Coturnix japonica: one gene and its partner. The protein of the gene in region 1 binds, or shares a complex with, the protein of each later gene. Links are inferred from orthologs where the notes say so. Each region holds a gene or a part of one and is shown on either strand. Other genes may lie near its edges. The genes, in order: PPP2R2A and IER5.

Evidence for each region.
Region 2: the proteins of PPP2R2A (region 1) and IER5 are in contact, whole or in part, in a cryo-EM structure (PDB 8UO5), measured with the Homo sapiens proteins. The link is inferred for Coturnix japonica from reciprocal best matches to the Homo sapiens genes PPP2R2A and IER5. Residues at the interface, in NP_002708.1 of Homo sapiens: Glu91, Ile92, Glu93, Glu94, Asp116, Tyr178, His179, Asp197, Leu198, Met222, Leu225, Thr226, Glu227, Val228, Thr230, Ser247, Phe280, Phe281, Glu283, Ile284, Ser287, Cys334, Tyr337, Glu338, Asn339, Asp340, Phe343, Lys345; in NP_057629.2 of Homo sapiens: Ala7, Arg9, Ile10, Ile13, Ser14, Lys17, Arg25, Gly26, Lys29, Leu30, His31, Lys32, Leu34, Leu35, Val36, Leu38, Val39, Leu40, Arg41.

What each region holds. Positions count from the first base shown.
Region 1 is NC_029537.1:1,778,528-1,793,574, reverse strand, and holds the start of PPP2R2A (serine/threonine-protein phosphatase 2A 55 kDa regulatory subunit B alpha isoform), read left to right. Parts: upstream 1-7,534; 5' UTR 7,535-7,549; coding exon 7,550-7,590; intron 7,591-7,887; coding exon 7,888-7,954; intron 7,955-9,875; coding exon 9,876-9,939; intron 9,940-10,915; exon of another isoform or gene 10,916-11,113; coding exon of another isoform or gene 11,114-11,120; intron 11,121-12,396; exon of another isoform or gene 12,397-12,411; coding exon of another isoform or gene 12,412-12,448; intron 12,449-13,020; coding exon 13,021-13,095; intron 13,096-15,047. UniProt on the Homo sapiens protein: Substrate-recognition subunit of protein phosphatase 2A (PP2A) that plays a key role in cell cycle by controlling mitosis entry and exit. Involved in chromosome clustering during late mitosis by mediating dephosphorylation of MKI67.
Region 2 is NC_029523.1:5,890,630-5,904,896, forward strand, and holds IER5 (immediate early response gene 5 protein), read left to right. Parts: upstream 1-5,328; 5' UTR 5,329-5,483; coding exon 5,484-6,185; 3' UTR 6,186-6,712; downstream 6,713-14,267. Other genes in the region: STX6 (syntaxin-6), read right to left, coding at 135-169. UniProt on the Homo sapiens protein: Plays a role as a transcription factor. Mediates positive transcriptional regulation of several chaperone genes during the heat shock response in a HSF1-dependent manner. Mediates negative transcriptional regulation of CDC25B expression.

The DNA of each region.
Region 1 (15,047 bases):
TAAATTCCTCTTTTTCTAGAGGTCTCAGGCCTGCATGAGCAACCAAAGCCTACAGCACATTCTCCCACCATTTTACTGTCAGGTTGATTATAACAAACCCAAGTCAAGTAGCAACAACAACACCATGAAAATAAGAGCAAAAGCATCACTACTGCAAAGAGTAATAATAGGTAAATAAAGGGGCCAAGCCCTTTCTCACACTGTTATGAAAGCCCAAAGCAGCACCAAACCAAACTCAACAACTACAACAAGAAAACCACCATCATATCACCATAAAATAAATTGATTCTTACCAGATACGCATCTTCACAAGAAGGATTTCTAGGAGAGAAAAGCACTGCCAGCAAGTAGAGCCATGTGGCAGAGGGGCTTTATATCAAGAGTCCAAGTGAGCTTGCAAAGTTCTAGAAGGTTCTGCTTGTGCCTCTGGGCTGTCCCAGGGTTCTCATTAAGAGATCATTAAGGGCACCTGTGGGGGCTCACACCTGTAAGGACTCATTCCTTCCTCCCCTTAAACTGAACAGACAAAAAAATTGAATGTACTGCTCAGATTTCTATTGGAATTCTCTGTTCTGTGTGTGAGGTCAGGAAGTGGGGAGGACAAGGTCTGCTTTTCTATGAGGAAGAAGCCTGTGCTGGCACAGCTTTGCTCCTGGGTTTCAGTGTTCACTGCCTGCTGCTCCCCTCAGTGCTTTCATAGAGTCATTGGGTTGAAAAGGACCACAGTGACCATCTGCTTTCAACCCCCAGCTGTGTGCAGGGTCATCAACCCCCTGCTGTGTGCACCAGCCCAGGCTGCACAGAGCTACATGCAGCCTGGCTTTGAATGCCTGCATGGATGGGGCATCCACAGCCTCCATGAGCAACCAACTCCATGTGTTGCTAATGGGGCAGAGCAGCTGTAAGGCTGAAAGGAGGTGCTGGTGAGGTGAGGATCGTCCTCTGCTCCCAGTAACAGCAATAGGATGTTGCAATAAAGATGTGATGGCCTTAAGTTGCACCAGGGGAGGCTCAGTTGGATATTAAGAAGGAATAGTACTATATTTATATATATAGTATATTTCTTAATATATATATGTATTAAGAAAGAATACTATACCACTATAATACTATACCACTAATAGTGGTCAGGCACTAGTATAGGCTACCCAAGGAGGTGATGGAATCCCCGTTCTTGGGGGACAGCATCGACCCACAGAGCAACACCCCACAGCAGTCACCCAAAGCAAATCCATTCATTACACATGTGCAGAAGTCAGATTGATCCTTGAAGAACTTAATTTTCCCTGACATCTTCCACACCTCTGTGAGGAAAGATGGGGGGCTGGAAGTGCTGCCCAGCTCTGTCTGATGTTTTCACAGCACTTACCACCATAGGGCGGTGGGGTTTTTTTATGCTGAGGCCTCCAGGTGCCACCGTCAAGTAAAAATATTGTCTTAAGGACCAATTTCCGGAAACAATTTCAATTTCAAAACTAATTTATTTGAAAGGAAGAGAATTTGAGCTCCCTTCACGTTTAGATTAACTGAGACCCCGTAACAAATGCGTGGTTTTATCTGCAGATCAATGGTGCACATTCAGATCCTGTTTTCACAGCTGCAGAAGCATTTTGTTGGGCTGCAAAAGGTCGGGTTTGGGATATTTTCCATAGGTGGCAGCATTACTGCATTTCCTACTGCAATACAGCACTGATAGATAAACCCCCTAATGGGAAAAACCTTGGAGGAATTAATTACTTTCCTATGGAGGCTGTCACCCAGCACAGGCAGCAATGTGGACATAGAGGATGGATTAAAGGAAGGTTTAGGTTGGATCTGGGAACTCCTGAACATTCCTCATTGTCCCTGATAGATATTGGACAGATAAAGATGGGGAGGAAGGGGAGTATTTAAATTGTGATCTTTCATCTCTTTGGAAGATAAACAATCAGTGGATGTATTTTCTTGCATGTCTAATAGGAGAGGATAATGCTACACTGCCATTTTTATGGGTTAGAAGGTCTCACAGGACCTGAGGCAGCAAAGTAACATGTCTTTCCTCAGCTGAAAACGTGACACAGTGCAGTTATATAAAACATTTCCCACCTAAAATTGAAAGGGTAGCAATAAAATAGCAGCTGAGTCATTCACCCAGCTCTGATTTGGAAGTTAAACCAGCAATGTAATTAATACAGAAACCTACCTGAAGCACAAGAACTACCGAGATCAGTCTTGATCCTGAAAGGTGCAAACATCATGGGAATCAAGATGGTGTTTTAAACCAGTTGAAAGCTTGTTTTGAGTTTCAGCACTGCAAGCCCTGTCATGTGTCCAAAGGTCCATTTGCTTGGCAGTATATTGCTCTGAATTTTGTGGTTACTGCACAGCTGCACTGGTAAACTTGAGGAAAAGGCATCACCTACATTTCCAAGTTGTGACTTTAGGAATGTGCATTCTGCTGTGTTCAAAGCTCCTTTAGCCATCTATCCTTTCACATTAGTGAGTAAATTTAAAGGTAAGGGGTTATGGAGCCTATTCCAAAGACGCCCCACCAGTAACATGTTCTGACCTCCCCAAAGCTGGGGCTGGTTTTTGTTACCCTTACAGCTGCTCTCACCAAGCAACCTTCATCAGACTTCTCTTTTTGGCATGGAACTCTCCCTTTCACCACTAATTAGGTGAGTAAATGCAATTACAGGCCCATGGAGCACACTTTCTATGACCAGCTGTAGACAGCTGGTGCAATTTGGCTGTACTGGCAGGCACAGGTCTGTGCTGTGGCTGCCTGCAGGTGGAGATAAGGGAAGGAAATTCTGGGTGCTGCTCCCCAACACGAGCACACAAACAGCACAACTTTTGCCTGCAGGCAAAGCTGCATTGTCCCACTGTGATATACACAGTGGTAGAAGAAGACTCCATTGCTGAGCTTGCTGGGTCTCTGCTTAACTAGACTCGCATGTGCATGGGATTCAGGATTCCTGCTTATCCTCTCACCTCTTGTATTTAAGATACTGGGAAAGAAATACCCCAAAGGAAGCTGCCTGTTATCCCGCTGCTGCTGTTCCACATTTGCTTCATCTGTTTCATCTTTTGCTTCCCTTTCCTGACGGGTTTTATCCTAAAAAACATAGAGAAAAACACAGGTGTACAAACAAATATTTTAGAAGAAGACAAGACATTCCCTGTTCTACAAGCCACGTTAGCTCATCATTCATCAACCATGACCTAGAGTGGAAATTGTCCAGTATTTATGACCTCCCGTCTCAAATTCCCCCAGCAGCCTCATACAGCTCCCACCCTGTCCACACACTGAGTGCCAGCATTGGGTTCATCAAGGACAAATACCCAGAGCTGCCCCGAAGAACTTGGAAGTATTCTTGGCTCTGAGCATTAACTGAAATGCCACATACCATTGTGAACATATAAATGGGAGGGACCTGACCTCTACGAGTTATTTTTGGGGACTCAAAACAGGTTTCAGTGAAAGGGAAAGAGCAAAGAGGTTCCCATTTGAAGCATTTAAGAGAATTTTGTCCAGTTCTCTCCAAAAATCAAAACGTTTGGATTCTAATTGTAGCATAAACTTCATGCTCTTCCCCTGCTCCTCTCTGCTCCAACCAACACTCCCTCTTTTCAAAACAAGCCTACAAATTGATGTTCCTATTTCCGGATGGTCTGTGTTAAACATCCCCCACCCCCAGGGCATGGGAATCTCACTCAGCACAGCCCACTCGTGCCATGAAGGGCAGCCAATGATGTCACATCGATGGGTGCTCCGTGAGGTGGGCAACATCCAGGGAATGGCAACGAATTGATTTCTGTTCTCCTCAACAGGTTGGAAACTGCATTGAGCCCACAATGAATTGTTCTATCGAGTCCACGCGTGGAACTTAATTAACGATTTAATTAAGCAATGAATGGACGCCGTTGTTAGCAAAACGTGATATGGGTCATGGCGTGCAGCCTTCCTCCCCTTTGCTGCCCCTCCTCCAGGCGTCCACTCAAGTTTTATCTCCACAACAAAACAGAAGCCTCTCTTTGTTCCAGCTGCAACACTGGCGTCATTGACAGAGTACTCATGTGTCCAAAAATAACCAAAGCTGGTGCCCATTGGAGCCATCCAGCATCATGTCCTCGTGCTTGGCACATCCCTTGAAATCCTACACCTTCTCAGATGGGAGTATAAAGAAATAGATAAATCAAGATTGTGACTCCTTGTACACACTTAAAGGGACAAAGGCTTTCTTTTCTTCCAGATGTTTCATGTTCTTAAAGTGCTTGTGGTCCCTGCATCTCTTTGCCACTGTTGTTCATAGAGTTATTTTTCTACCCTACCAAGGGTGTTTGCTTTCTACCTTGCATTTCCCAAGCCATTTTCTCTGCTATTTTTATGATTGTCTTCTGCAGTTGTTCTGACGCTGCACTGAATCTTAACCCAACCCACGTTCTGCACAGAAATCAGAGGGAACTTCAACCCTTCCTTAGCAAGGAATAATTACTGTCACTCACGAAGCATTGAGAGGCACAGAAAGAAGCCAGGATCCTTAACATTAGGGGCAGTCAGAGGATCCAAACACACCAACCTTGCAAAACGTTGTCCCTGCTTTTAGTAAGAGATCAGACCATTTGCTTCAGTCATGCAACACGAATGTGCAACAGAACAGGGAACAAAACCCAGCTCCTGTGAGTTCCTCGCCAGCCTTCTAATTTGGAGCACACCTTTGATTTTGATAGAGAAAAGAAGTGTAGAATGAGCCCATTTTTGATCTGTGCTGTAATGCTATTTGCTGCTGAACCGATTTCAAAACCTACCCTTTAAATAGCTGCTTTTCAGTGCTATCCAAAGCAGCCCCTACCCTGATACAACCTGCAAATGAAGGAAAGCACCTTCTGTTTCAAGAAGGCTGCCTTTTAATACAGTAAAATAATGTAATAAATAATAATAAATATAATTCCTGGGTGTGCAGATTGAGAGGGGTTTTGTTAAGATGAAATTTCACTCAAATCCTTATTTTTTTTTAATTGGAGGGGGAAAACTTTCCAGCACTGAATGCACAGAAGTATCATTTTGTTGTTCAGATTTGCCTGGAGAACAGCTCTCTTTTAAAGAGCATCTCTCATTTACCTTATAGGCAGTCTCTTATAACTTTCTGTGGTTATAATAAACATGTAATATGGCAAACTGGCTGTTTCCAACCTTGCAATTCTCCGCCTCGGAGTTACTCAGCCTTGGATTCAATGTCACCAACAGGGGGCAAGTAGGGGAGGCTCTGCACACAGCAAGAGCTGCAAAAAGCAGTTCTGCAAGCAGAGCTATTTGGCATGTCTGATCCCTGAGCCTTACTGCTGGGTTCTCTGGGATGGAGGAGGATGCAAGCTTGGATTAAAGCTTTAGCCACATAAGAAGCATTGTGACACGTCTTTGCCTGGATGGATTCTCTCAAGTTTAATGAGGTCCACACTCAAATCAATCTGTCTGCCTATCAGCTTTCCTTGAAATCTGTAGGCAGTGGGATTTCACTGAAGCATCCATTCCTATGAGACCACATTGGAATCAGGCACTGAGTCAAAAGCTACTGTGGGGAAGTGAACAAACATGGAATCATAGAATAGGTTGGGTTGGAAGGGACCTTGAAGATCATCTCATTCCAACCCCTTGCTATAGGCAGGGACACCTCCCACCAGACCAGGCTTCTCACAGCCCCATCCAGACTAGATGTGAATGCCTCCAGGGAGGGGGCACCCACAGCCTCTCTGAACAACATGTTCCTGTGTTTCACCACCTTCACAGTAAAGAATTTCTTTCTAATATCCAGTGTACCCCGTTCCATTTTAAACCCATTTCCCCTCATCCTGTCAAACAAGCCTCATTCTGGTTTTACCAAAGGAGAGAATGAGAGGAGATAAGGTTTGGCACTGGGGCGAAACGCAGCCACGCTGTGTGCTAAGGGCAGCAGAGCAATGCCTGAGCACAAATCACTCTGGACAATGGCTATTGGTGGGGCTACATTTCCTTATATCCTGGGTAAATCATCTGCTTTGCATTGTTACGAGCAAGAAAAACAAAGGCTGTTTTGGGCCCCCAAAGGTCCCTGGAGCTCAGAGCAGAGTAAGGAAACAACCTCAAGCATGAAGCCGAGTTGCTTTCAAGCCCATGCACCACGAGCTCTTTTTAAAGCACGTTATAAATGTTTTAACTGAAAGGCTGCTCCTAGAAGCTCGTGAAGTGCTATCATCCTCAGTTCATTTCCAAGGCAAAAATAAAATAGGGGCAGAAAGCTTTTGCTCGAGGTCTCCAAGGGAATCAACAACACAGCAAGGATTAGAACTAAGGATTTCCTGTCCAATCTGCAAACCACACCTCTCTCCTGTTTACACTGCTAACTTATTCCCTAGCAGAAAAGCCATGTGAATGGAACAATTCAGTCTGCTATTTCAGCCTCCCTTCCTTCCCTTCTCAGTTCATTCCTGGCAATACCTTCAGACTTTTACAAACCTGCAACCAGAACTGTGTGACAAAGCAAAGCAAAGCAGAGCAAAGCAAAGGATGCTTCCTAACAGTTTCAGCTCCAAAGAGTTGAATTTCTTTATGTCTTCCTGTGATTCCAGGACATCAGTTTGTCCATAGCCCCTCACTTCCATCAGTGGCACAATGAGACACCAAAAGCACGAGGCTTCAGTAGAGGTGAGGATCAAGAGCAAGGATGCTCCAGTTCAAAGTCTTCAAGGGCATTTGATCCCAGATTGATTCAATTATCTCTTCCCACAACCCGTGGTCTTTAAGGATCTCTTTTCATATCAGCTGGCTTTCATATATGTTTTATTAACAGCTTCAGTGATATACACAGGTTAACTACAGCACTCAAACTAAGACTTCTATTTACTCACGCCTTTTGAAGTAAACCTGTGTGGGTGTAATTATTCCAACACACAGCAAAGGATAATAGCTTGTTAATTAATGCATATAGGAACATCGCTTCGGGAGGGATCTAAAATAGAAGATACTGAACCTCACTATTAAACCTAACAGGGAAATCCCATAGACAGCAATGTTTGTAACACACTTGCTTTAGCTTCCTGCTTTTGTTAAGGGGATTTGTTTCATAGAGGTTTCTGAGGCTATTACTTACATCACCTATTTAAGTTTATTAGTAAGGACTGAGCAATTCTGTTCCCTCAACACCACTGCAACCCTCCACCCAAAATAAACACTTCAGCATATAGGTCAGGAGGTTTAGAGGTTAAAAAAAATAGATTGAAAAAAGGAAAGAAACATAAAACAATGCAATGGCCTTCAGGTTTCTTGTCTCAGCTCCTCCCCTTCCTGCCTTGTGCCTCATTAAGGTGGTGGTGAGCAAAGCCTTTCTTACCTGGGAGCTGCTTTGTGCTTCTGGGTGATGCAGCAGATTCTCAGTTAAGTCTATGCACAAAGTGGTGTTTTCCCTGGAAACTGTGTTTTTGTAAGGATTACTTTATTGCTGTGCTCATTCTGTCTACCTTAACAGATTCCAAGCTTGAGGATCGTTAACCATCTTTCTTCTAGCAGCCAAGCTAATAGTTTTTGAGTCCTATGTGTTTGGATTTATCTGCTTGGGAACATCTTCAGAAGAGGTACGAAGAAAGTGTATTTTCAGGCTGAAGGATGGAGATTCTCTGCATCAGCAGTGAAAACTGGAGCTGGGAAGGACTATGGCAGCTCTGCCCTTGGGCACAGAGCAGCTCTGCTGAGAGTATTCCCAGTAGGGAAAGGTCTTTTCTTTGCATTGCAGTCAGGTGTGCAACTGCTCTTATCAGACTAAAGCGCTTCCTGAATATCTCGCTTTGTGTTTCTTGGTGCTTGGTTTAATGTCTCTGTTTTGCTCTGCTCTTCTTTTCTTGTTTACGTGGTCTGTTTTCTGCTGCTAACAGGTTTCAGAGCTCTGGGTTAAGATCAAATCACCCTGAGGTGGAAGATTTGAAGCTGAAGAGGTTCCAGGTGATCCTGAACTACATGCTTTGTTAATCCCTCCTAATAGATGATAAGGACTAGGCCTCCTTCAGGTGCATCCCCTATCTTGCCCTGTAGCCGTGCTTTCAGTTTCAAGCTCATTTCCCATCGTAAGTCCTTTATTTTGTGGTCAGATTCATCTTCCCATAGCAGTAACCACAGCCAATCAAAACCTAGTGAGAAAATTAAAGATGGTAAGAATGCAACTTTTGTATGGATGTCAAGTTAGCCATCTCTTTTATTAGTCTTTATAATTAGAAGATACTGAGATGCCTCCTACCCTCGCAAACAAGCCCTCCTAATTAAAACACACTTGTTTTGCTGCCCACTACTTCCAGGGCCATTTTTCCTCCCCAGAAGCCCTGCTTTCCTTGCATTCTTGCCTTCAATTCTTCACTCTTGAAAAACGAATCTCCTGCCAAAATTCAGGTGTCCAAATCCTCTACAAATTGGGCTTAAATAATCCATTAAACCAGTATTTTGCAAATGGTGGTTTCAGGCATTATAACCTAAACCTGCTCTAAACAGATCAAGTTCAGAGCTGGTTTTAAACCGGTCTTGCAAACTACAACTTTAATGAGTGCATGAAATTCTTTCCAAGTCTAATTAGTCTTTCAGCTTGCTTGAACCAGACCAAAGTCAAGGAAGAAAAGCCTTTGTGATTCCTGAAAGAGAAAGCTGAGGCTTCCCCTTGTTATAGCAGAGCTTTAATCCAATAACGTTGACGCTTTGGAGATGGCATGAGCCGCTTGCTTATCACAAAGCAGGGGCTGCCTGACCTCTTGTGAGCATGAACCTCCACCTGGTAGTATTAAAGGCAGGGCACAGTTTTGATAATGGCTGTTAATTAAGTGGCTTCATGCGTAGAGGCATGAAATGAAGAAACCCCTTTTGCTGAGATACTTAGTGCTCAGGCCATACGAAGCCCCAAAGATCGTGCTGCAGGAATGAATCGCATCGCCCTGATGTTAACTTGCAGTGAACCCAGCTATTACTCAATTCCAGCGATAACTTTGGTGATGATTACTCCTTTTATTCCTAATATGAGCTGTTGTAATTCATTATAGTCTTGTCTAATGGGTCAAATTGCTAGGAAAGCCAAGCAGATACGAAATGGACGGGTGACCCCAAGAGTTCCTGGGGCTGTAGTTGTTTGATCAGCGATTTGATATGAATGTGTAGCTTTTAATTGGCCATTGGTCACATTTTGGTTTCAAGGGTCCTCTGTATGTGCTTATAAACCTCTGTATGTGCTTACAAACTTCCAAGCAGAGCTGCAAAATGCTGCTGTTAATGTGCCCCAGCCATTAATGCTATCGTGAATGTGTGTCTGTCTGAATTAGCAAGCGAGCAAAGGCTGTGATTCCCAAGATGTCTTACTAATTACTGTGGCTGTGATTTAATGTTAATTATTTATTATACTCCGTTATGTTCTATAGCTCAGTTAGCTCAAAACAAAAACCTGAAACGTTTGGAATTACGATCCTTCGTTCTGGCAGCGTGATATTAAGTCTTTTATAAGAAGGACTTTGTTCTAATTATAAGGTATGTGCTAAAGCTTCGTTAATTTATATTACAGTGCTAATTGCAAGTCCTTTGCAACAACGCCCGTTCTGCTACAAGGGCCAAGTTCTGTAGTAGTAATACAGAATGCAATGGGGCTTCGCTTGGAACTGTTCCCTTCTGTGTAGGGGTGAGGATGGCTTTAAGGCATCCTGAAGCACGAGGGATGGCAGCTTCTGTGCCAGGTCTGGAGTACAGTGAATACACAGATCTGTAGAGTTGAGTGCATTTGATCCTGAGTTCTGGAAGACGTGGGCCATGTGTTAAGGGAAGGCTCTGAGCACCATGATAGTCCAGGAGGAGCTCTTGGTTGTGAATGCTTTCCAACATACTTGCTTCTCTCCAGGTTTCTGCATTGCTCTCAAAATGGACTAAGCAAAATATGTGGCTCCAGATATTCCCAAACTTAGGTGAGTTGAAAGAACACCCGTTTACATGCTGCGTTCCCAACATTGCTTTTTCTTCCCAAGAACTGTTTGATTTGTATGCGTGGCCTTAGAGGGATGCATTGATAAAGATGCTTTTCTCCTGCAAGCTGGACTGGTTCTGGGTTTCTGATGTGCACCACAGAATGACCCGGGTTGGAAGGGACCTCAAAGATCATGTAGTTCCAACCCCCCCTGCCTGGCAGGGCCACCAAACATACACCTTTACTAGATCAGATTGCCCATGGCCCCATCCAACCTGGCCTTGAACACCTCTAAGGACGGGGCATCCACAACCTCCCTGGGCAGCCTGTTCCAGGGCCTAACCACTGTCCTAGTAAAGAACTTCCCACTAACATCCAACCTAAATCTTCCCTCTTTTAACTTAAAACCATTTCCCCGTGTCCTGCTATTGTCAGCAAAGGGGGAGCTTCTTTAGGGATGCTCAATGGGCTCAAATCCAGACAGGCTGTGGGTGCTTTGTATCTGGAGGTATTCAAGGCAAGGTTGGATGGGCAACCTGGGCTAATAGATTTGGAGGTTCATGGCCCTGCTTGGCAGCATTGGCACAGATATCTGTGAACTGATGAGGTTATGATTGAGATTGGGGGGTTGGAACTACATGATCCTTAAGGTCCCTTCCAACCCGGGTCATTCTGGGATCTTAAATAGACGGTGGTGAAGTGATGGCTGCAGTGCTGTGTGTTAATTACGGGACAGGTGGGTGTAGGGGGATCTGCGAAGTGGAAGGCGGATAAAAATGGCTCCGAGCTGGGAAGGGCAATGATTTCCTGGGTGAAATCAGAGCCTGAAAGTAAAGATGGGATGGAGAATAGGAATGAATGAGCGAAGCACACGGACATACACTACGGAAGCCGCCTTGTACCGCCCCGCCCCATTCCGCCCCCACCGCCCCCCTCCGGGTGATGTCAGCCCCATCTCGCCCGGCGCCATTTTGAAAGTAGAGCTGCCTTGAGGGGGGGGGGTGGGCCGGAACGAGGAGCGGATCGGGGGCAGCCCCAGGAGCGGAGCTCGGCCGCACCCCCGCCACCATCCGCCGCCATCCGCCCCCCGCGGCCGCCCCGAGCGCGGCACCGGCGGCACCGCCGCGTAGCGCCGAGCCCGACCGACACGCAGCGGCCGCTCTCGCGAGCCCAACATGGCAGGTAAGGGGTAGGGGCGGCTGCTGCTGCTGCTGCGGGGTGGAGGGGGGCGCAGGTGGGGCTGCTGCCCCCGGGGTGGGGGCGGTCTGGGCTGTAGACGGTGGAGCCGCCCCCGGGTTGGGGAGCGCCTGGTCGGTCTCCAGCTTCAGCAGTCGGCCCTGCGTGAAAATGGCACGAGGGGAGCGCCGGGCATGGAGGGGGATGGGGGGAGATTGGGAAGTTACCCCCGAGCGATGGGGGGTCCCCGCAGCTTTATAAATGAGGGGCTGTAATTAGGGAACACGGGCTTTTCGGTGCGTCCCTTCTCGTCGCTTTCCATCTTGCATCCCGGAGCTTTGCTCGTGCAATGAGGGATTCTCTTCTTCCTCCTTCTTCCTCCTCACTTTTCCTGGCAGGCTGCTTTTAGGAACGCGTTCCTTCTCCTGCAGGTTGCATCGCCCTTCCAGCGGGTTTGTGCTGGGCTTCCCCCCCCCCCTCCAATCTCCTCCTTCCTCTTTTTTTGTTGTTTTCTTAAAAATAAATGGAGAAAACGGCACGGTTGGACGTAGCCGTTTGGAAGGCGGCCTTTCGCCATCATGCATGGAGGGCAGTGATTGATTTCTCTTTCCAAGCCCGTCACCTTTTTAGCAGCAGGCACCATGGCAGCGTGGAATGACGGAGGAAGAGGGTTGGAGAGGAGGAGGAGGAGAGCGGGTTGTGTGGGGGTGGGGGGCTCTTTGGGGGGGTATTTTTGCAGTTCCATCGTTGCTTAAAGGCGTTTTGGCATCTCTGGCATTGCTGAGTGCTGTTGGAGCCCTCACCAGGTCCAGCTGTGTGCTTTGCTTTGCTGTAATCCTTCAGGAAGGAAAGCAGAGCGAGCTGCAAGCACTCATGGGTTACATTCAGCACCCCCACAGAAGCCCTGGGTTGTATTTGGGCTTCAGGTTCCCACCTCTTTATCTCCTTCCATCCTTCCCATGGATGGGTATAGGAGAGGGGTGCAGTCCCTTCTACATGTTGAGAACGGCAGCAGCCCTTTGGATTAACATATCGCTGCCATCTGTTGCTCATCCCGCTTGAAACCGCGTCGAGGGAAAGTTCCATTTTGACATTGGCTTTGCCCTAAAATGAAAAGGCCGGACCACAAATAGTGAGGCAGCAGGGCAGGCCCGTGTCAGCCCCTTCCTGTATGTCCTCAGCCCGGCGGTGATTTGCTCACAAGTCGATGTAAAAGAGAAATGGGTGGTGGTTTTCTTTTTGTGCCGTGTTTTGGTTCGGGGTTTCAAATGAATCGCCGCCTCCCGCCGGGGCAGGGATGTTCCTCAAGTTTTCTCTCCGCTCTGTGTTTTATGGTATTACAGCTCATTGCTTCCTATCGCTGCTTTGCTTTTCTACTTGGATTTGCTGCTTTGCTTTTTATTCACCTCTATTTTTAAGCTGATAATTGCTTTCGTTCCTGGTAGAATTATTTCCTTTAGCCTTCAGTATTTAAGTTCAGCTCGGGGGGCTTTTGGAAAGGGAGGGAATGAATGGCACGCTTGGTTTCTCTCTATTGAAATATTCTGCACATTCAGAGCTTTTTCTGCTTCCCAACCAGGTTTTGTGTGTGCTGGGAGAGAGGGCTTTGATTTCTAAAGTGGGAAGCAGCTCTGTGTGTAATAAGATGCTTTGGGGTTTGGTGCCAGCAGTACGAGCCCCATGAGCTGCTCCCATCCACTTCTGCCGCTAACGCTGCTTTGGTGGACGCCAGCAAAGTGCTGAGGACAAAAACAATATCTGTAAAGGGAAAAGGTGGGGAGGGGTGGCTGTGCCGACCTCGCTGCTGCTGAGGAAGTGGGTGTGCGCGGTGTTGTCTGAAAGCTTCGAGTCGGCGGCTCCTGTTGCGGTGGGGGGTCTCATTTTTTGTATTGTGTTTTTTTTTCAGGAGCTGGAGGAGGAAATGACGTTCAGTGGTGTTTTTCTCAGGTGAAAGGCGCTGTGGATGATGATGTAGCAGAAGGTAAGAGAGATCTTTCAGATTATCCTTTTTCCCCTGGCTTCTTATAGCTGCTCTTTGATTAAGATCTTCCCAATCTCAAACATAAGGGCCCAAGTCACATATGTGCATTCAGGGCATTCGATTCAGGATCAGGCTACACCAGCAGGGTTCTCTTCGTGCTTTGAAGGACTCCATTCAGCCTTCAGGAGTGTCCACCTGTAGTTGTCTTCCCTAACAGTTCAGGTTCCCCATCACTCAGCTTTTGCTGTTCCTAACCTGGACCGTGATCCTTGCATCCCACAGGGAAGTGGTGTAGCAGTTAATTAATATTGGTGTTCTTTGATGATCCAAGCATTTGATAGAGTGATTATTTTTCCTCAGTCTTCCCAACTTCTGTTAACCAGAGGAGGATGAAATCAAAGTATTTGTGTCTGCTTGCTTACCTCAAAGCTGGAGGGGGAGTTGTGTGTTAGAAACAACATGGAAATTGCATATTATGACATATATATAACACCACAGCAGTGCTGGCAGTGACAAATGTCATCTCTTACAATCAGAAGCAGCCATCTTAGTGACTACAAGAAATGTGCTTGCTCTTATTTGCTTGGCCATCCTTGGAGGAGTCCTGCGTGCTGTTTGGGTAGTCGTGGTGGTGGGCAACACTTCTGCTTTTCCCTTTGCTTTGAGATAGTTATGGACTTGTAAATGCATTTGGCCACAGGTTCCTGTTGGCATGGTATGACCTGTAAGATCAGGAGTTGGTTACTCTTTTGCTCTGGCTTGCCGACAAGTGAGATGAACGTTGGGTTTAGAAGAGCAATAGCTGCAGTTCCCTTTATTTCCCCATTCGATGTGTGATCGAGATGAACTTGAGGCAGAAAACAAGAGTCTGATTTTATATATTGGCTGCAACACGTGGCAAACAAGGAGCTTTAAAATGCTGCTGTCGCTTTGTGAGCTGAAGGATGGACTTTGGAAGCAAGAAAACAACTTTATTTTAAAGCTTATTTTAGGAGCTTTTGAGGAAGTATATTTTAAGGCATGAGCTGTGAACTACTGTTAAAAGTAGTAAATATTTCCTTTGATCGAGTTTAAATTCTCTAACCTTTATTTTTAATTGCACGTCAAGCTAAATCCTCAAGGTGCAAATTTTGGGAAGAATTACGGTTGTGTGGCAGATGCTTGCAAATAATTCTTCATTAAAACAGACACGTTGACTGCGTGTAATAGCAATGAGCTACGGGTAGTGGCTTTTATGGGGATGTGGAAAGGCAGGAGTCAGGAAGCAGTTTGTCCTTAGCTGCTGTAGGGCCTTCTGCTTTGCACCATGAGGGGTGACTCCCCAAAGCCTCACTGTACTGCAGGATATCTGATGTGTGTCTGCATCCTGGGATGGGGTCTCAGAGGTGGGGTTATAGTTGGTTGTAATGGATCTTTAGGAGCTCTTCTGAGCTCTTCCTGGTTATTTGGGTCTCAGGTTGCTTGTTGAAGTTTGTAGGAAGCCAGCTGTTGTAACTGTAATGCAGTTTTACCTTCCATGCAATGTTTGGAGTTCCTACTATGCTTTATACATTGAAAAGGTTAATGATGTATCAAGCTAAAACTTCAACCTTTTCCTTTTCTAAGTTAGGTTTCTGGCTTTAAGTTAGACTTGCTTGAATAAGATGAAGCCTCGTGGAATTAGAACAGCAGTTTTGCATGCTTCTGGTCCTCCTTCAGAATACCAGCAGACAAATTGTCAGTGGCTCTGAGTCTGCTGTGGCCTTTTTCCCACCCCACTGTCTGCTTTCTTCTGGCAAGCTCCATGGCCAAACCTTAAGAAAACGGTGCTGTCTGAAACTTCAATGGTCCTTTAGCCAATGTGGTCTGCAAGCTAATGAGTGTGGGCTCTGCTTGCCCGATGAGTGAGGGCAGTGCCAGTTTGCTGAGGGTAGTACCAGGGTTGGAAGGAGTTTCCCTGCCTGTTTTCTTCC
Region 2 (14,267 bases), on another chromosome or scaffold:
TTCTCCTCCTCACAGCCCCCACCCCCCACATTCCCCCTCGCATCCCTAGCTCCCTCCTCTCCCTCCCCCCTCACAGACCCCTCCAGCTCCCCAACCCTCACCTTTCCTCTCCCACACCCAACCCCATCCCTCACCCCTTCACCACGAAGAACGGATCCTCCATCGACATGATGGCGCCGACGCCGCCGAGCGCCCCGGCTGCCCAGCGCTCCGCCCTGCGCGCATGCGCGGCTGCCCGCTGCCAGCCGCCCGCCCCGTCCCGCCATGGCGTCGGCTGCGCCTCCCCTCAGCGCTGGGATGGGGCAGCCCGGCTGCCAACCCCTCCAGTGTCACTCTTTGTGTCGCTCAGTGCCGTATTTCCACTGCTCTGTAACACCTACAGTGTCCCCAGTACCTCCATGACACTCAAGATCAGTGAGTCCCGTGCCTCACTGCTCTTCTGGAGGGGGAATGTTCCTCATACCCAACCTGAACTTCTAGCACAACCTGATGCCATCCATCACCTCTCATCCTATCGCTGTTACCAGGAGCAGAGGCCGACCCCTCCTCACCACAGCCTCCTTTCAGGCTGTTATACAGAGCAATAAGATCTCCCTTGAGCTCCTCCACACCACCCCATCCCTCAGCTGCCCCCATCCCGCTGTGCCCCACACCCCCATGCTCAGGCCCAGCCTCCCTTAGCCAAGGCAGTGCTGCTTTGCTTATGGAAAACCCATTTGCAGAGATGCCTCCTCAGCATGGGAACCAGGTGAGTGGCTTTTGCAATCGCAGCACGCTTACTCACGAGTCAGGGGTGAGGACACACGTCGGACTGGTTTATGGGCATGGGAAAACACAGCGACTTGGGTGCATACAGCAGGAGGTGGCTGTATGCTGGGCTAAGACATGAACTTCATAGGGAGAATGAAGGCAGAAAGCTTTTCTTTGATGCTGGAAATGATGAATGGGGGTTTTCTTGCATAAGACTGCACTGCTGTTGTTTCACAGTAGGCTCATCTTGCTATCCAAGCTCAGGTTTTTGGCTTGGAAAGGCCAGGCAGCTTTTAGCTTTCCTCATGTTGGTGAGCATTAGCCAGCTGCAGAACTGGCCAGGGAGGATCTGATGAAACACTGGGAAGCTCCAGCTCATCACAATCCAACCTGCAAGAAAGCACAGGGCTCACGGAATGCTTTATCAGGAGAATTCCTATGGCATGTATGTACATGCACAGGGATGTGCTCAGCCTGCTGCTAACAAGGTGTATTTGATATAGTAGAGGTGGCTTTTCAATGGTGGTTGTGAGGGGAGGGTTAAGGCAGTGATAACTGGATGGGAAACATCAGTCTGTGGCTAAACAGTCATTGCTGTGGTGGGCTGCAAGGGTTTACATTGTGGTTTATAAAGAGGTTCCATGAGCATCGTGTTTAGAAACCTGCTGTGACTTAATTGAGAAGTGAGAAGTGAGAAGTGAGAAAGGGGCAGACAGCACTGAGCCTGTAAGGATGCTGGCCATGCTCAGGGCTTACCTGCAGCTAAAAAGGATTATTTATCTGGGTAATGAGGTGCTGGTTTGGCAAGACTTGATGGATTGGTGACAGGACTTAGACTGGCCCCATCTGTGGGGTGGATAGTGGGAGCTGCACTGTTATAGTGGGTCACAGAGGAGGTCTGGGGCACCCACGTGTGTGACCAGAGAATCCATTCCAGGCACTAATTAGAAGCAACTTTCTCTGGCCACCTCACCCCATCAACAGTCCTCATTATCCCCATGTCCACGGGTGGCTTTTGTACCCAAACTCCTTGTCACACAGTCAGCCCCGCAAGAGGGCAAGGTGGCAAAGGAAGGTCCTCACAAGAGGAAAGAGGCACAGACATTTCATGCTTTCTCTTCATTTTGGAGAGAGGGATTCAACACAAAGGGCTGAATGGGGCCCTGAGCAGCCTGATCTGGTGGGGGTCAACCAGCCCTTGGCAGGGGATGGGACTGGGTGGGCTTTGAGGTCCCTTCCAACCCAACCATTCTATGGTGCTGTGATTACATGATTCTACAATGCCGTGATTTGATGTTTCTGTGAGCTGCTCTGTCCTTGAATGCCACTCTGAGGATGCCTGGACGTGGTCCCTCACTGTTAGCTTGGAGCATGGCAGCGTGACACAAGTGTCATTGCCATCCAGCAGGAAGCTGTGGGACACAGGGCACATCTGTGCTCCACGACGTGCGCAGGGCTGCAGCCGGCACTTGCCTGCCAGCTAAAAGGAAGGTGACTTTGAGATGCAGGGAGAGAAAATAATTAGACTGTGACTCCTTTGGGCAGGCAGCCTACCCTACAGTCTGCAGGGCTGCGGCTTCGGCTGGCTCTGATGTGTGGATTTAACCCTGTGCTGGGCTGCAGGTGAACCCAGGCTCCTGTTTGGCACGGAGTGAGAGCATCCCTCAGGGCACAGAGCAAATCACCCAGTCGGCATCATGTGAGCAGCAGCCCAGTGCTGTGCTGGGCTTCTCCTGGGCACCAGGAGGACCAAAGGACCAGAGGAACAAAATACAGGAAGGTGGACTACAATAGAAGGGTTGTCTGATAGGAAACCCCGGACAAATAAATGTGTTCTTTCCCCAGGAAACCAAAGCCAATTTCATAAAGGACTGTAAGCTGTGGGGCCACCTTTTTCCAAGGGAAATGGCTGCCTGAAGGAGCTGATAACCATCTACATCCTTATCCAAACTCAGACAAGCTGTGGGTGCCCTAACTCTGGATGGATCCCTGTAAGGTCATGGATGGAGCCCTAGGTAGCCTGACTGGTAGGGGACAGCCATCCCACGGCAGGGTTGGGGCTCACTGATCTTTAAGGTCCCTTCCAACCTAAGCCTTTCTATGATCTCCCCGAATGGAAGAGGGGTTTTAACCTTGGAAAAACCCCTTTGCTTTCTAGTACGGTGCTGCGCTGTGTGAACGCGAGGCTGTGGTTTCCAGTGCAGGTACAGAGCACTCTCAGAAGCTGGGGGAGCCACTTCCCTTCCTTCAGCTTTAGGTCTGTGTTGCTTTCTTTGTTTCGCTTGCGTGTTGTGTTGGGTTGTCACCCAGCAGTGCTTAGTATTTGGGGATGTTCTCTCTGCCCTTGTCTTCAAACACAGATAACCCAGAGCAGATGGGAACCGGGGAGCATTACCTACCCATACCCAACAGCGGGAGGCTGAGACTGCATCTGTGTCAACCATTGATTTATCTAGGAGGGAAGAATCAACCCAAACGATGCTCAGCGTTAGATATCTCTTATCTCTGGCTACAAAACGAAGCCCTGTTTGGGAATGGTTGCTTCATCAGTGGAGCCTGGAGATGTCCTGGAGGTCCATTGTCACTTGGGGAAGCTCAGTACGAAGGGTTTTATCCCCTACCACGCTGCTGGTGTGAGAGTCTGTGTCCCAGGAGGAGCCCAACCCCCGAACCAAGAGAAGGGCGATGATGCACCGGGGAGGCTCCAGGATCCCGTGCTTGGAGGACACCTGGATGTCTCCGGGATCGCTCCCCATTCCTTCAGAGTATCTGCCCGGCTCACATGTGTTGACAAGGCGCAGTGCCGGCTGCCGGAGGGTCGGCGCCAGCTTGGAACAGGATCTGGGTAACCACATCCGCACTCGGCGACAGGTCGGGGGCCGCGCTGCGTGCCAGATGGCCCGGCCCGGCCCGGCGCTGATGGCAGCGGGACCCGAGAGCTGCCGGGACGTGACAAAGCGCCGTTCGCCTTATATTTCCGATAGCGCGAGGGAGGCGGACAGAGAGCTGATATGAGACGGCCATCGGGCCGTGGGCAGCCCGTGCCACGAGGCAGCAGCGCCAGCCCCCGAGCGAACTTCCCGGAGCTGATTGAATCGCCTATAAAAAAGCAGCCGTGTGCGCAGCCTCTGCGATTACGATGTTGTACCGCAAGCTGCTTCCTGTCCCGAGCCTCTTTTATCTCGCATTGTTTTCCTTTCCAGGTGGGGCTGCGGGCTCCCCGCCGCTCGGCCCCCCGGGTTTCCTGCTCGCTCCGAGCCACCTTTGTCTGCCGGCCCCGCTATTTCGGGAAACGGCAGCTGTGCCGAAGGGCTGCGAATTGTTTGTCAGCTCCTTTCCAGCCTGCCCAGATCACACGCGGACAGAGAAGCGGCCGGTCGCACCCTGCCCGCCCGGCTCCTGCCGGGGATGGATGGGGCGCTGCCCCTCGGCTGGGCCACGCACACGGGGACGCGGCACCTCCCCGCGTGGGAACGGGAGCAGCAGCGGCACGACGGGCGGACGGGTACAGACAGACAGACAACAAAGCCACCCCAAGGCGAGCGCTGACCTCAGAAGCTGCCATGTGACGCTGCCTCAAACTTACTAAGGCATGACATCAGCCTGGGAGGGAAAGCGGGGCTGCCACCAAAATACCGCCCGGCTTAAAAGGGCTGAGCTGGGCCGGACTTTCTGCAGCCACCCCCAGCCCTGCTTCTGTGGCATTGATTCTTACCGGGCTCAGCTGAGCACCAAGGGGCTCGTGTCCCACAGCACCCACAAAGAATCCCCGTTGTTTTCACACGCGGCTGGTCACAGAACCCAATGACAGCACCGAGGTGCCCCGGCCGGTCGGGCTGAGCACGGAGCAGGTCGGACAGGTTGGGATCGCTGAGGACAGCAGTGCTTGGTTCCCATCAGCAGGGTGGGAAGGAAAGCCCTGCTCTGCCCGGGGCTGTTCTCTGCAGCCCAGAGGCCGGTGCACTGGGGAGGGGGGTCTGAAGCCTTCTGAGAAGGGTCCCTGCTGGTTCTTTTCCACGCTCATTGAGTCCCAATGGGGACGGGCAGCCCCTGCACCTCACGTCCTGCCCTTCAATACCAAGTGAGGCTCTTGTTTTGGGTGAGAAAGGGAGAAGTGGGAAGTGCCGTCACATGGCAGACAGGAAGGCAGCAGGCTGAAAGCGATACCCTGGGCTGTCCTTTCACTTCTGCCCTCGCCCTCTTGCCCCCATTGCTTCCTGGAGCTGGGCTGGGGATAGAGGCAAGAATCAAATCCAAATTCACAACCTGGACAAAGTGAATCCAACCCCAACGTATTTCATGTATTCTACATAAAATGGAGAATAAACCCATCAAAGACAGCTGCCCCTTGTGTACTGTAAGGTACAAAGGGATGAAAGCTTCTCAAAGCGCTTTTTTGGCAGGAATTAGTGGCAGAAGACGACCCGGCGCTATCCCCGCTTGCCTTCCACTCCAGGTGGGCCCCACCAGCCTCTCTCTGGCATTGCCGCTTTAAGGGCTCTCTCCGCGGGGCGAGCGTTCGAACGCGTTACCCTGCCCCGCCATTGGCCGGCGCGCCGGCGGTTGGAGCGGCCGGCGGAGCGCTCTGATTGGTCGGCGCTGGGGCGGTATAAAGGGAGGCGTGGCGCGTGGGCACCCTCAGTCGTCGGCGAGAGCGAGCGGAGTGAGTGTGTGCGTTTGTGCGGCGGAGCGGATCGGCCCGAGTTCAGCCCCGGCTTCACCTCGGCCCACCCATGGAGTTCAAGCTGGAGGCGCACCGCATCGTCAGCATCTCGCTGGGCAAGATCTACAGCGCGCGGGGCCAGCGCGGCGGCCTGAAGCTGCACAAGAACCTCCTGGTGTCGCTGGTACTGCGCAGCGCCCGCCAGGTCTACCTGAGCGAACCGGGCTGCCCTCCCGAACCGCCCCCCGCCGCCTGCGGGCCGCCGGCACAGCCCGCTCCAACTTGTCCCGCCGCCTGGGCGCCCGCGGAGCCGGACGCGCCGAGGCTCGGGCGGCCATCGGCCGACGCGGACTGCGGCAGCTCCCGGCCGGCACGGCGCTGCTCGTGGGGCGGCTGCCGCTGCGGGGCGGGCGCTGAGGGGCCCCGCGATGCCGGGCGCTGCTGCTCCGTGCCCCCGCTGTGCCCCCGGAAACGGAGCGCCGCCGAGATGGAGCAGCAGGGCTCGCCCGTGAAGAAGCCGCGCAGAGAGATGGAGGAGTCGCCGCCGCCCCCGCAGGGCGAGCAGGAGGACATGGAGACGGGCAACGTGGCCAGCCTCATCAGCATCTTCGGCTCCAGCTTCTCGGGACTGCTCAGCAAGGAGCCGCAGGGCCGCCGGCGGCCGAGCCTCAACGGCAGCGAAGAGACGAACGCGGAGCCGGGGCAGATCTGTTGCGATCAGCGCGTGCTGCGGACCCTCAACCCGTGGAGCACGGCCATCGTGGCCTTCTAACCGCCAGGAGGGGCACGGACAGACCCGGAGCTGCCCCCCTCCTCCTTCCTCCCCCCCTCCCGGCCCCGCACGGAAGAACAGCGGGCAGCAGCACTTCCCCTTCGCCGGGCCCCGACCGTCGGCAGCCGCCCTGGGAGCGGCCCGACCCGCCCGGAATTCCCCTTCCCGATCCCCCGCCCCGGGGCGCTCCCAGCGGGGGATATTTTAAGCTTGGAAAGTATTAAATTTATTAAATAAAGTGTTTATTTTGGAAAGGTTTAGGGCAGAACTGTTACATGGTGCTTTTAAAAAGTGGTTATTGGAGAGAAGCAGAAGTTTACAGACGCTCCGACGGAAAGTCCTCGTGAGCCGAGGTTGTTAGGCTCGGGGATCCCCGGCCTTTGTTGTATAAAGGCTTAGGGGTCCCGTATTGGGGTAGGGGTGGGATGGAGGGGGGGTTTGTACAGTGTTCTCTTCGGTGATGTATCTCGTTTTGTATGAAATGTATTGCTACGTGTGTGACACGTATTAAATATTTTCGACTGTAGCGGCTGAATCCTTGTCTGTGGGGTGGGGGGTGGCAGCCAGGCACCCCGCGTTACCTCGGGTGGGGTAGTGAGGGGGGGTTACGTTGGGTTACGTTGGGTTTCTGTTGTAGACCCAACGTTCCAACCCGCTCCCAGCTCCAGGTCGATGGCTGTGGCTCAAAGTCCTGCTCTAGGGGCGTGTGAGCTGCCGCTGCCAGGCATAGGCTGTGCTCGGGGCTGCTTGTTCCGCTGCCAGCAGTCGTTCTCCTCGCCTCCTGTTTGCTGTTACTTGCGCGGTGGTTACGATGAGCAGTTCCTACTATTGCTAAGAACTGGGTTAAAGTTCCTGCTCGCATGGGTGGGGAGGAAAGCTTGGCCTGTGCTTCACAGCCACCGCGGAGCGCCCCGGGGCGTTGTAATTACATTGAATTGTGGGGGAATTTTTGTTCTTCAGTTTCTCGCTGGGATATTCACCGGAGGCTCCTCCGCTCCTAATTAACGATCCCTCCCACTGAGGACTCTGCTGTGCGCCCTTGGGAGATGCGACCCAAAAGTCGGGATGGGAGAGCCGGGCAGCGGGCTGTAAATGCTGTTAATTCTCTTCCAAACTGGTTGTCAGATGGGGAGGAGGTTCTTCGGCTCTGCTCCACCTTCTACAGGCGTTGTGCAACAGCCGGACCGCTGGCAAATGCCACGCTGCTGCTGCGGCTCCTCCCGGCTGGGTGACCTCCGGCTTCTCGCTTATCAGCTGACACGCGCTGTCCCCGAAGGACCCGAGCTGGCTCCGTGGGCTGCTGGAGCCGTCCCCGCTGTCGTACCGCAGCCACGTTGGACCCCGCAGCCTAATTCAGTGCCGGCTGTTGGGTGGGGGGGAGCTGGAGGCCGCTCCCAGGGCTGCGGTGACCCCGCTGGCCGCAGGGAAGGGCGGCTGCAGCTCCAATTGTTCCGGAGATACTTTGCATAACTGGCAGCAGGGCTTAGGAAAGTGCTCCGGGGGAGCTGGAGCAGCCCGATGTTCTCAGGAGCTGCTCGGGGGTCCCAGGATCTGCCTTTCCTCGCCTCCTTCCCTGCGTCTTTTCTCGTTCCTGTAATAACACTGACATAAACAAGGGCCGTTCTTCTGTTCCAGTGTTTCGGTCCTTGGAGTTTCCCTTCCCACGGTGCTGCGTTGAGGGCGAAGGGGTGGGAAAGGACAGGGCTGTAGGCTTGGGGAGGGGCTGGCAGCCCAACCGCACCTCCGTGCCAATGCTGCTGATGGAAGGAGTGCAAAAATAAGCCAGATAAAAATAAAACCTTCCATCACTTGGAAGAAAGGGTAACTCCTATGGAAATAGAGGGCCCGGACGGATGTGATCTAATGGCAAGATGACAGGTCCTCACCTCCTGGAACAGCAGTGGGGCTGTTGGGGAGCAGCTCCTCAGTGTGGTCTGGAGCTGAGGGGGCTGCTTTGGGCTTGGATGCAGAGCCCAAGGCTCAAATAAAAGGGCCGAACCCACACGTCCTGGGATGGCTCAGCCCTCTGAGAGGGGATGAGCATAGAGGTGGTTTCCAGGGTCCTATTGGGTGTCCCCCACGAGTGCTCCATCCCGGTGCACCCCGTCCTGGCCTCTGTCCGTGCCTCCCGGGCAGGGGAGGAGGGGGCAGGCTGTGGGCTGCAGCATCCTGCGGGGCTGTGTCAGCGCTCAGGAATCCGGGAGCTGCTGGGAAGGAGGGAGGGAGGAGGAGGGAGGAGGAGGGAGGCCGGGAGGGAGGCCAGCGCCTCGGGGCCGCGCTGCTGGGGCCTCTCCCAGCTGGGGAATGGGGGGGCACCGCACCGGTGGGGGCTGCTGAGTGAATGGAGAAGGGCGAATCCAGGCTGGCTGGGGTCCCCGAGGCAGGGGATGAACGCAAACAGCTTTCTTCTGGTTGTGATTGCTGCTACTGATAGGAAAACCCTGCAGGCCCCCCTGGCTGGGTGAGAGCAGTAATGAAACACAGAGCTGCTGGGGAGGGCTCCTTCTGGCTCCCAGCTGAGCAGTGTGTTGGTTTGGAGAGCCAGGGCTGGCCATGCATGGGGTGCAGGATGCTCCAGTGTGTCACCCCATGTCCTGTTCCCTTGATCTGTGCCTCTTCCTAGGGAAAGGCCCTTTTCCTCCTGTTCCTCATCTCTGACCTCAGCCTGTAGCCCTGGGGCTCAGCAGCAGCTCAGGACAGGTCAAGGCACATCCAGCCCCAAGCTGAGCTCTGTGCATGCAGGCACAGGAAGGAGCGTGACTCCCAGGGAGATGCTCCCCCTCTGCTTTTCCTGGCACTGAGGGCACAGAGCTGGCTGGGAACCACCTGCAGGAGGGGAAAAGGGAATGAGGAGGGAAACACAAGAGCGGATGGGGCAGGGGACAGGCAGGAAGGACACAGAGAGTGGCTGGGAGAGGCAGGAAGGGTGGGAGAGCAGGAAGGAGGGGAGTGATGAGGAGCCCCCGGTGCTGTGCCCCGTCCCCAGGCACACAGCAGGGCCCCCAACCCTCACTAGGCTGGGCCCTGGCTGGGGTTTTGTCAGCAGCACGTGGGAGGAAGTGGCTGTGAGAGCAACAGGGGACAGAAATCCCCAGCGGGCTCTGACAAGAGTGGGTGGCAGATCCACTCTGCCCTTTGAGCAGGCTGCTTTCTCCTGTTTATTATTCAAACCAGGACAGCACTGAACCCCCACGTGCCCAACTCTGCTGGCTCCAGGGCTGTGCCTGACCCGAGGCCTTGGCATAGAGCCATGTTCTGGGGAAGGATGAGCAGACAGATGGACATGTGGCTCTCACATCCTTCTTTCTCCTTTTCCCTTTCCTATGGGAGAAGAGCAGCAGATGCATCTCCAGGGCGCTCAGCCTCATGCTGGGAGCAGGGTGCATCCATCCAGCTGCCCCCAGAGAGCTCTGGGACCCTGGCAGCTGCCCCTTTGGGTCTCAGCATCTGCTCCAGGACCAGAAAAGGCCAAGTTCACCTCGGAGGGGTCATCTCCCTTCCAAGCATCTCCTCCAGGTTCAGCACGGTGCTGACATCCTCCTGCTGCCTGCTGCTCGCTTTGAGATGCAGGGTAAGCTGCCGGTCTGTGAGCAGCCAACCTCCTCCTTTCCTTGTGCAGCAAAGCCCTCTCGTGGAGGCCTGCAGAAGCTTGCCAGCCAGGAGCTGCCCCTGCACGGCCATGCAGCGCTGGGGGGGTCTGCAAGCACAGCCCTCCCTCCTGATGGATGGACGAGGTACTGCAAGGTGGTGGGTGGGTGGGTGTGCTACTCAACATGCCCTGCCATCACCTGGTGACACCCAGCCCGTGTCCTTCAATGTACACACACTGGCTAACATTGATGTGCATCACCTGGTATAACGATGCCACTTAATACTCCCCCAGCTTGGGCCACCTGCTCTCACTAAAGTCATTTGGCTATTTCCCTCTCTAAATCTAGCTGAGAAGAGCCATCAGCTCACCTGCACACCTGGGCACTTGGTTGAGGAGCTGAGTGGCCTCACCTGAAGCTTCCACCCCCCTGCTGCCCATGGGGATTTAAGCTCAACCCTGTCTCCCTTTGCTGTGTTGAGTTGCTAGTTGGGTTTGCTATGTTTGTAGTTGGAGGATTCCCACTGTAGTGATGTTCTCTGTTATAGACTCAGTGAGGGGTCCTTGTGTGCCATCAGTGCTTCTGAGGAGCCTCAATCTGTGCATTGCCCAGGTACTCCCCTCTCTTTTGTTCCCCAACAGGTTTAATTCCCTACCTTGGTTATGTGGTTAAGCAATTTCCCTTTGCTTGTAGCAATACAGCTTTGTGCTGCTTGCATGTAAATGGTATGGTTGTCACCTCCTCTCCCAGGGGCTGATAGCAGCCTGTGTCAACATCTGACATCCCTGCTGACACAGTACCAGCCCTCTGGTTGTCAGCCCTCAGCTTCTGGGCTGCTAGCAGAACTTAGGGCCTCCGGGAGCAACTGTGGGGCAGCAGGGTCCAGGTATGTGCTGCTGGTGTGGGGTGCTGCTGTAGGTGCTTAACAAAAACTGGAAACAATCTGAGCCCAAAGTATAGCAGATAATGCAAGGAAAACTAGAGCCTAGAGGGCTCTAAATGACAGTGATACCAGTGTAGTGTTCTAGGGAGCATCTCTAGGGCCTTTCCTTGTTCCTAAGCACGTGTTGGTAGGGAGAGAGCCCTGTGCTGGGCTTTGGCATTTCCTGAGGGCTCCTTTGCTTCCCGGTTTGGATGGAGCATGGGGATGCCTTTTCCTGGCTGTATGTGACCATTCTGTGCACAGCTCCCTGCAGCCCTCGCTCCAAATTAGCCTCGTGGGATGAGTCCCGCAGGTTAATTACATATTGTACCTGAAACAACGGCTCTATTGTTATAACCTTGCAGTGCTGCTGTGTGTTGGCTGTTGTAGTGCAGAGAGAGCAGCTGCACTGAGCTTTATGAGTCCTATGGGACATTGTCTCTGTCCCACAGGGTCCAATTCTACTGCTCCCCATCCTGCAGAGCTGTGTCTGAGCTCTACAGCATCACCCTGCTGCCATGGGGGGTGCCTGTGCCCCATGTCTGTGCTCTGTTACCATCAGGCTGGTGGAGCCCCACAAGGCTCTTTCTGCAGAGAGATGGCATTGGCTCTAAGCCTCGGTGCATGTCGAGGTGTTTGGTGGCTCCCAGAGCAACAGCACCTCGTGGCTGCTGCTGATTGGAAATGAGGAGTGAGCGTGTCCCCTTGGTGCTCATTGCAGAGCAGAGGAGGAGAAATGGATGTTCCCCTCGGGCTTCTCTGGGGGGGGTGACAGCTGGATGGAGGGAGCCAGGGGAGGAAGTGATTCATACCTTTAATTCTCCCTCCAGTCCTAATGATCACCTTTTATTTGAGCTACATAGAGGCCCAAGTGGGCGATGAGCATCCTCATTGTGGGGAAACTGAGGCATGTGCTGGGGATGTGCCTGCAGCCTTCCATGCCTTGGGGGCGCGTGGGGGTGGGCTGTGCAGCACAGCCCCTGGGGCTGTCCTTACAGGGGGTGGGCAGTGATTCAGCAAGAGAGCTGCCTGAGGGTGGATGGACAGATGGATGGTTGGATGGATTGATGGACACCCGTGCTGCTTGGGTGCCATCAGCCACGTGCTTTTGGTGCCTTGTTGAGCCAGGTTTTGTGAGCAGTTTCCCAGCAACAGCTGCTCCCTGCCTTCCCCAAAGAGAAGCCATTCGTTCTCCCCTTCTCTGACAGCTCTGTATCCTGGGGCTGTTTGCTGCTTCTTTGCCACACTGCTGCCCCAGAGCCCCATATCCATGCTGTCAACCTCACCATGGTGGGTGCAAGCCACACGTGGGGTGAGACCCACGTACAGGGAGCCACCAGCAGAGCTCTCCCAACCTTTCTGGCAGTATGATGGGAGAGTAAAGAACATTTTGGTGCAGAGGACAGACTGCTCAGTGCCTGGAACAGAGACGAGCTGCACCAGGAGGGGAGAGTTGCCAAAGAAGCGTTCAGCACTCCATTTCCTTGTTGCTCATACACATCTCCAGTGCTCCCCTGCAGCGAGCCGCCCGCCCTCCCTGCTGGCAGGAGGCTCTTGTTTGGATCTATTTGTGTGCTGTTTTGCTAATATTGCTGCTTATTGAGTGTTGGAGCTGTGCCACGGAGCCTGGGGTTCGGGGGCTGCCAGCCCCGCTGCAGGCTGTGTGCCGAGGTACCTGTATTCTCACCCACCTCAGCTCTGTTCAGGGCAGGTATGAGCTTTTTTGGGGTCAGGACAAGGGGAAATGGGGAAAACAGGGTGGGCTGTGAGCCACGCTGCATCTTATGCCTTGCTTTGCTTCTGGAAAATGCTCTTTGCTATGGGCTGGCTGCTGCTATGGATCACCAAAAGAATGGCTTGGGTTAGGGACCTCAAAGACCATCTAGGCAGCAGCTCAGGCTGCCCAGGGCATCATCCGACCTGGCCTTTGGCACCTCCAAGAGCAGGTTGGACCGCAGTGCTTGGGACAGGCCGTGCCATGGGATTGGGGCATGTCAACCTCTCAGCATCAGCCCTACATGGAGGCAGATCTGCATGGCTTCCTCCCTGCGAGCTGAAGGGAGGTGTTATTCACTCCAGTCAGCGGGAGCTTTATGGAAAATGGGTCATAATGAGCTCATTTGGTGTTGCTCATAACATCATGAAAGGGAATACTTGCAAAAGCAATGATTTAGGCGTTGTTTGACTCGAGCAGGAGTGATATCAACAGAGTTTAGTGGGAAAGACGATGTCGGAGCCGCTCAGTGTCGCTGTCAGTGGGAAGGCATCACCGAGTGCTCAGCCTGAGCTGTGCTATAGTTAATGATGTATTCAGCAATGAGACACAGAAATGCTCCTGGAGGTCTGCACAGTGTAACAGGGAGGGCTGGATGGGGCTCTGAGCACCTGATGGAGCTGTGGGTGTCCCTGTTCATTGCAGGGGAGATGGACCTTTAAGGGTCCCCTCCGACTTGTATGGTTCTGCGGCCCTCCTGCCCGAGCTCTGGGTTTGCCATGCAGGTGATGCCCCCAAGGGCAGTGTGCACAGACACTGGAGATACCCTTACAAGCATCATGAAGTGGAGCTCGTTAACTTTCCACCCAATCCTTGGGGTGAATTGCGAGTGGAACTGCTACAACGCAGCCGCAGGCTTTGCAGTAAACAATGAGCAGTTGGTTTCACATGGCTCCCTGTCAAAAATCCCAAACTGGAAAGGGAGGAAAACAAACAATCAGATCCGAGAGGAACGGGTGTTTTTTTTTTGGCACCGTTGAGCTCCGTGTTGACTGGGCTGTGAGACAGAGCCGGGGAAGCAGCTCCGAGCTGAGTCAAAGCGCTCTGATGTAAATAGGGGGAGAGGAACAGAGCGGTGTGCTGGGGCTGCATGGAGGTGGAGGGCAGCAAGGCTGCTCAGTGTCAGATGTGCAGCTTACAGCCTGTACCCTCGTGTCCTTTTCCCAGTGGGGACGGAGCACAGTTTAACCCCACAACCACAGCTGCATCATGTTTCTCTTAGCATTTGGAGCTGCAGATCAGACAAACCCCATTTTGGGGCTTGGTTTTTGCAGCAGGTTGTGTTGTGCTGCTTTTCGTGTGCTCTTGGCTGCCCTCTGAACTCACTCCAATTAGTCCACAGCTGAAGTGTCTGCGGCTGCAGGCAGGGAGGAGGAGGGAAGCCGGATAGAAGCGTGTGTTGTGCACTGTTGGAGAGCTGTGTGCTGATCTATGGGAGGACAGACAAAATCCAGGTGGTTCCTGCAGAGCCATATGGGGCTGTAGGGTGTCTCGGTGTGTGCTCCTACAAAGCTTGGGGTCAGGCAAAGGCAGACACTGCTGGATGTTAATAAATAAGGGCTGCTCTTCCTGCACACGCTGCTCTGCACACCCAGGGATGCTCCTGTGGGTGAGCAGGCATGGGGTGGTCCCCAGCAGATGGATGCTCCAGGGATGCCACAGCATAAATCCTGCCTGTGTCTCTGCCTGGCTCCTGCCTGGAGCTAGCAGGGCGGTGGGAGGAGGCTCTAGGTTTAGTCTGCATGGCTCAGGCTTGGCTTGCCTTTCGGGATGTCGTGCTGCTTGTGCCCAGCCAT